Linked DNA regions of Drosophila melanogaster. The protein of the gene in region 2 purifies or fractionates together with the protein of the main gene of each other region. This does not show direct contact. Each region holds a gene or a part of one and is shown on either strand. Other genes may lie near its edges.

What was found. The genes of interacting proteins can lie anywhere in the genome.
Region 1: the proteins of Bap170 (region 2) and Taf5 purify together in Drosophila melanogaster (affinity purification with western blotting; one study listed by BioGRID). This does not show direct contact.

Annotation. Positions count from the first base shown.
Region 1 is NT_033778.4:10,877,872-10,881,471, reverse strand, and holds the start of Taf5 (TBP-associated factor 5), read left to right. Parts: upstream 1-1,798; 5' UTR 1,799-1,866; coding exon 1,867-3,600. Other genes in the region: Pex6 (peroxin 6), read right to left, coding at 1-568, 632-1,144, 1,439-1,465. UniProt on the Drosophila melanogaster protein: TFIID is a multimeric protein complex that plays a central role in mediating promoter responses to various activators and repressors. May play a role in helping to anchor Taf4 within the TFIID complex.
Region 2 is NT_033778.4:6,634,751-6,638,706, forward strand, and holds the start of Bap170 (brahma associated protein 170kD), read left to right. Parts: upstream 1-1,761; 5' UTR 1,762-1,938; coding exon 1,939-2,180; intron 2,181-2,244; coding exon 2,245-3,260; intron 3,261-3,430; coding exon 3,431-3,956. Other genes in the region: Trap1, read right to left, coding at 1-1,028, 1,105-1,237.

The DNA.
Region 1 (3,600 bases), 4.2 Mb from region 2:
CTTGCAGGAGGAACACAGGAAATATGTGCTTTGACGACAGGCAGGCGGACTTTTTTGGCAGGAAAGCATCTACTGAGGAGCGCAACAGCTTATAGGGCTTTCGAAGTCCACTTGGATAGTTCTCAACGATGGCCATGCTGTCAAGCACTTGACGAGGCAGGAAACTGTGAGATGCAGGCACTTGAACAAGGTTGCTAAAGTTTTTGGCAACAATCGCTTGCAGCTCGAACTCGCTGCCCTTTGTCTCCAGGTGAATACACTTTAGGTGGACGTGGCGTAGGTGAGCGAATATCAGGTAATAGTGGGCATAAGTCGCAGTGCCCACCAACTCTGCGTTCACCTCGATGCGGTAGGTATGTCCACGATGCATGAGTCGAGGTGTATTGAAATAGTTGCTCAGGATGACCTCTGTCAGTTCGGCGGGAAGTTCATGGGGATCTGCGACTAAGTACACATGTGCTTTGGTTGCTATTCCAGGTATTGTCTGCTCATCGGCAAAATGCTCTACCTGCACCCAGCAGTTGGAGCGGATTTGAAAGCGATCCAATATGTTGCCGTAGAAGTTCTCCTGAAATTTTACACGATGTAGAATTATAGAAAATATTCCATTTATTTAGAACTAGATACCCACCTGAACGTACAGACAATTGGGTTGGCACTGTGCAGCCGGCAAGATCTGGGCCACAATCGTATGCGGCGCCTCCTGGAGCATTTGCTTGATAACCGTTTGGGTCATATTTCCTTCGTCTGAAGCTAGCGGCTTACCGATTCTTACCCTCCTGCCGCGGATAACCAAGTTGACAAAGTTGACGTCCGGCGATTCCGCATAGTTTTCGTACACCTCCTGACTGGCGAACACCAGGTGCTCCGACTTAATCTGCTCGTTCTTGATCAGCAGATCGTAGAGGCGGTTCGGAATGGGGGTCAGCAGAAACTTGCCCTTGTAATATTTGGCGTAACGCCAGTATACGGCGTATGTCAGATATCCGGGGTAGAGGAACCAGGGCCACTTGGGCGCCAGCAGCTGTATGGCCGAATTGTAGCCCTCGACTAGCTCCTGTACTCTCCCAGAGAAGCTAAATCTCGGCTGTCCTGGATCTTGTTGATCGAACGACACCGAATTCCGCTTGCCGACGACTTTTTTCTGCGGGAATTGATCACGATATTAGCTAATATGGCTTAAATGTTACATATGGACCTACCGCATCATCATTTTCATTCATTTTTTACAATAAATATGGACTAAACACAACAGAAAGCACGAGTACAAGGGTTAATTTCGAGGAGGCGGTGTCAAAGTTCAAGGAGTTGGGGGATAGGCGCCAGACAAATACACTGAAATATGCAATGGCAAGTTAATTCTGTTAATGCACAGCAAATTATTACCCTCTGCTATAAAAATTAGCTTGTTTATTTGGCCAGTTACTTTGTATTTTACCTTTTTCACAATTACTCTCCTCTTCATTACGAATGTTTTGATTCTGGTAAGATATTTGCTCAAAAAATACTAAAAGTATTCAGTCAGCTGTCCACAGTAAGACCTTTATAAGCACATCTTCAAATAATTTCTTTGACCTGCATAAAAGTTAAATATTAATTTTGTAGTAAAATGAAAGAATGAAATATGTCATTATATTTTAAGTAATTCCAAAAATTGGCAAAAAGATATAATTTATAATGTATTAATACAATTTATTTTTAGAATCCGTCTTCGCTAGTGGCTACTGTATATTTTGACTGTACTTGGTGCATTTTAGTATATTTCATTCTCCACTTGGCCGTTTTCAACCGATGCCAACCTGGTCACACTTTTCCACGCATAACAAAATAGTACACAAGTTCCATATATTTCAATTTTCCGCGAAAATGAGCCTGGAAGTGAGCAATATAAACGGGGGAAACGGTACTCAATTGTCCCACGACAAGCGTGAGCTGCTGTGCCTGCTGAAACTCATCAAAAAGTACCAGCTGAAGAGCACTGAGGAGCTGCTCTGCCAAGAGGCGAATGTGAGCAGTGTGGAATTGTCGGAAATCAGCGAAAGTGATGTTCAGCAGGTGCTGGGCGCAGTTTTGGGAGCTGGCGATGCCAACCGGGAGCGGAAACATGTCCAATCTCCGGCGCAGGGTCATAAACAGTCCGCGGTGACGGAGGCCAATGCTGCAGAGGAACTGGCCAAGTTCATCGACGACGACAGCTTTGATGCTCAGCACTATGAGCAGGCATACAAGGAGCTGCGCACTTTCGTTGAGGACTCCCTGGACATATACAAGCATGAGCTGTCCATGGTTCTGTACCCAATTCTGGTGCAGATCTACTTCAAGATCCTCGCCAGTGGACTAAGGGAGAAGGCCAAAGAATTCATTGAGAAGTACAAATGCGATCTCGACGGCTACTACATAGAGGGTCTTTTCAACCTTCTTTTGCTGTCTAAGCCCGAGGAGCTGCTGGAGAATGACCTCGTAGTAGCCATGGAGCAGGATAAGTTTGTCATTCGCATGTCCAGGGACTCGCACTCTCTGTTCAAGCGACACATTCAGGATCGCCGGCAGGAAGTGGTGGCAGATATTGTTTCCAAGTACTTGCATTTCGACACATACGAGGGCATGGCGCGCAACAAGCTGCAGTGCGTCGCCACCGCGGGCTCGCACCTCGGAGAGGCCAAGCGACAGGACAACAAAATGCGGGTGTACTACGGACTGCTCAAGGAGGTGGACTTTCAGACTCTGACCACTCCAGCGCCGGCACCAGAGGAGGAGGACGATGATCCGGATGCCCCGGATCGTCCGAAAAAGAAAAAGCCAAAAAAGGATCCCCTGCTGTCGAAAAAGTCCAAGTCGGATCCGAATGCTCCATCCATCGACAGAATTCCCCTGCCGGAACTGAAGGATTCGGACAAGTTGCTAAAGCTTAAGGCTCTCAGGGAAGCCAGCAAGCGTTTAGCCCTCAGCAAGGATCAACTGCCCTCTGCCGTCTTCTACACGGTGCTTAATTCCCATCAGGGCGTAACCTGTGCCGAGATTTCAGACGATTCCACGATGTTGGCCTGTGGATTTGGCGATTCTAGCGTGAGGATTTGGTCATTGACGCCCGCGAAGCTGCGTACGCTGAAGGATGCAGATTCCCTTCGCGAACTGGACAAGGAATCGGCGGATATCAATGTGCGTATGCTGGATGACCGAAGTGGTGAGGTAACCAGGAGCTTAATGGGTCACACCGGACCCGTATACCGCTGTGCCTTTGCCCCCGAGATGAACCTGTTGCTCTCATGTTCCGAGGACAGCACCATAAGGCTGTGGTCTCTGCTCACCTGGTCCTGCGTAGTCACCTACCGCGGGCACGTTTACCCGGTGTGGGATGTTCGCTTTGCGCCGCATGGCTACTATTTTGTTTCTTGTTCGTACGACAAAACTGCTCGTCTGTGGGCCACGGATTCCAATCAAGCGTTGCGCGTATTCGTGGGTCACTTGTCGGACGTGGATTGTGTACAATTTCATCCCAATTCCAATTATGTGGCCACCGGTTCTAGCGATCGCACGGTACGCCTGTGGGACAACATGACCGGTCAGTCGGTACGCCTGATGACGGGCCACAAGGGATCG
Region 2 (3,956 bases):
GTTGAGTGGAATGTCCTCAGAGTCGACAACACCCTTTACAAAACGCAGCCACTTGGGCAGCAGATGCTCAGTCTTGGACTGAATAAGCACCTTGCGGGTGTAAAGAGCCACACCGGTGTTTCCGTCCCGAGACATCTCGAATAAACCAGGCTTTCCTTCGGGGAAGTAGAGCAGTGCATGGATGCTCAAGGGTACGTCAGCATTATAGTGTAAGGTGAAGCGCGGGACATCGAAGCTATTGCTAATGAACCGATAGAAGTCATGGTGCTGCTCCTTGCTGATGCTTTGTGGCTCAAGAAGCCACAGAGGCTTGATCTCATTGGCCTGCTTTCCGTTAAGCAAGATGGGTGAGCCCACAAAGTTGCTGTATTTCTTGATTACCGCCTTGATCCTCTCCTCGTCCGCATATTCACGGCAATCGGTCTTTAAATGAAGCACGATTCGCGTTCCCAACTCAACGTCAGGCACCTCTTCGATCTCGTAGGTTCCACTGCCATCCGTGGACCAACGCAGTCCGGGTGCATTAGGCACAGCCGCCCTCGTGAACACCTCCACCTTATTGGCGACAATGAAGGAAGAGTAAAAGCCCACGCCGAACTGACCAATAATGTTCGAGGATGCCTCCGAGCTGGCTCCCTGCTGGGTCCCCTTCATCTGCTCCAGGAACTTCTTCGAGCCGCTGCGTGCAATGGTGCCCAGGTTGCTGACCAGCTCCTCCTTGGTCATGCCGATGCCCGTGTCCTGGATGATTAGCTGCATCAGTGGCTTGTCGGTGGTGATACGAATCTCCAGAGGCCGGTCCTTTCCAGCCAGATTCTCGCCTCCAGCGCTCAACGAGGTGTACCGAAATTTCTCCAGCGCATCGCTTGCATTCGAAATAAGCTCGCGCACAAAGACCTCGTGGTCGGAGTATAAGGAACGAGCCACAATGTCAAGTAGCTGGCGCGTCTCTGCCTGGAACTCATGCTTGTCCACCACTGATCCTGATGCCTGCTTGGTCTCCGTGGAGTAGCGACGGAGCGAGAGAGCTGCAAGTGAAAAGATGAGTGTTATGTAAACATAAGAATCCCTCCGGGGAGCCGGTTGCTTATATTCAGTGCTTACCACCCGGCGAATGCTGCGATCCAATGGTGATATTGAACGCTGCTGGGGCGGATCGGTGACTCTGCCTCAACACTTGGGCACAGCGACCGAGGCGGCACGCCTGGCCCAGCACTCCCATCGCTCGTACAGACATCTTGTTGTTTTAATGTTTTGCCCAACTTTAATGTTACCCAACTACGAAGTTTGTTCCAGCGCACATGTGTGCACAGTGTAGCCAAATCAATCGATTGTAAGTATTCGATAATAGTAAACTGGTAAAACCCTACTCATAACGGTGTTTTCTTCCAAATTTCTGGGCTGTAATGAATTTTGGACTCAAATGCTTAGTTGGTTTGAATAAGAGTTACTACATGTAATGGAGAGTTCAGTTTCATCACATTATTCAGCTCAAAACTGAAGCAAACTGCCAGCTGACTAGTTCTCTAAAGATTTCGATCAGCAAGAGAGAGAGAGAGAGATAGAGATGTTTCAACTGTGAACAACAAACCGTAAATTCTGAAGGAATTAAGAACAGATTACGTTTCATTGTTTAGCCAATGTAGATTGGATGCTGATTTTTGAGTTATGAAATAACAAATGTCTTCAAAGAAGACAGTAAATAAAAGAAAGTTAAATCAAATCCAATATTGAAAGACATCGATACCTCATATCGATATACGGTCCAATTGCTGACAGCCCTGCTCGTGAATGCAACTCTGCTGTAGCGCGTCAGCGTCGCGTTGTAATTTTTGTTGAGTTTTTTAAATAATTTTAATTAGCATCTGCGTGTCTTACTATTAGAATATCATGTGTTAAGTGTTTCCCATTCACGCCACCACACAAAAAGATCCAATCATGAGCGCCACCACCATCGACAACGTACGGGTGCTGCTTCAGTCGCTGCCTGCTGCCGCCGTAAACAGCGCCACTCAGCCGGGCGATCTACAGACGCCGGGCAAGATTGCGGCCCCAGCGACTCCCCTTCGCGCCAAGAATCCCGCCCAATTACAGATCATGCCGGAGAAGGTCGAGGAGATGCCGCCGTCACCTCCGGAGGAGTTCTGGAGGGACCTGCAGCAGTTTCACGAACGACGCGGGTGAGTTGCCGCGGCTCTCCTGTATTTGGAGACGACCTAACCCACTTTCCCTCTGCCCAAACAGCACTCCATTGACACAGCCCGCCAGGATCAGCGGTAAGCATGTCGACCTGTACAAGCTGTACAACGAGGTAACCGAACGAGGCGGCTTTAATAAGGTGACCATGCGGGACGAGTGGGACGAGGTGTACAGCGCCATGGAGACATTGCGGGAGCGCTGCGTTAACGGAACGGCTAGTATCAAGCACATCTACAGACGCTACCTGGACAAGTACGAACGGTTGAACTTCTTTGGCGAGGATCCAGACAAGATGGAGGCTCTGGAGGCGGCTATTGAGATTGTAGAAATGGGCGGTGGACGCTCGCGATCTCGTTTTTTGGCTGGCGCCGGTGGTGGCCTAGGAAGCATTTTTGGATCAGCACACTCTACGTTGCCGGCGGTGCCAATGGCCTACAACCAGCGCCAGCACTCTGTTAATGTGGAACGACGCCGACAGTACAAGATGTCCACGCAGTTGCACCGACACAGCAGCTACGAGAAGCTGCTGTTGTCTCTGCTTTCTCCGCTGCCCAATGAGCAGGACTTCGCCATAAACGTGTGCACACTTATGGCCAACGAGGCGCGCCACACCCTACAGCTGTCCGAGTGCCCCAAACTGCTTGATGTGCTGCTTGCTCACCTGGGAGTCTACGCTGACTTCACCATGCGCCAGCTGTTCCAGCACAGTTACACCGAGGTTCGACACCATTCGCAGCTCAGTTTCTGGCGCGACCTGCTACACGACAAGCCACAGGTCCTAGAGCTCTACACGGATGAGCAGGCCTGGCTGGACAACGGTCTGATAAGTAAGGAGGACGGTGAGAACTCTGCCGCTCGAAGTGAACTGCTGGCGGCCTGCGACGAGTTGCACTTCCTTAATCTGCGCCGGAGCAACGGGACTGATGAGCGCATGGGCCAGCGAGTGCTTCAGATTGTCCAGCTAGTCCGTACACTCAGCTTTCATCAGGAGAATCATGCACTCTTGGCCTCCAACCGCACGTTGTGGCGATATTTGGTCATGGGAGCAAACGTACGATGGAGTAAGTTTTTTTTATCTGCTTAGAAATTATATTTTTTGGCGCTTTGAATGTACGAAGTATCAAGGTGCTATCATAAATACACTGCAAGGAAATTGACTATTGCGTAGCATAGCAATCCCGAAAGAATCAATTTAAAATAAAATAACTGAAACACGTTTCGCTCGTTCTAGGCAACATTCACATCCAGGCCCTCGAGACCGCTGGCAACCTGGCTCAACAATTTGAGCTGCTAGACCCCACCACTGACGAGCTATCGCGGAATCTTTTAGCTACTCTCTGCGAGGGTATTGACTCTAACGACCGCGCGGTGATCATGAGCTGTCTGGAGATACTCTATAAGTTGTGCGGACGAGAAGGCAATTCGCAGCACATCAATCGTTGCCTTGGCCTGGACTTTTACCAGCGAGCCATGTTGCTCCTCTCGCTTACCGACGTCATGATGATTATCTTTACGCTGGAGGCAGTTTACGCACTAAGTGCTCTTGGCGCTCGGCCATGTTCGATGCTGATGCAAGTACGTGGCCTAATAGACCAGCTGGTGACCCTTATCACAGTGGAGGCTCAGTCATATGGCACAGGCGGTTGCATATTAATGCGTGTCGTAGAGGTTTTCCCCGGAAACATGGCTGCCTCGCTGGCTCAGAACATGCCCGCCATTCTTGCTCCAGGTCCCACTTCCCTGACTACACTTCCAAC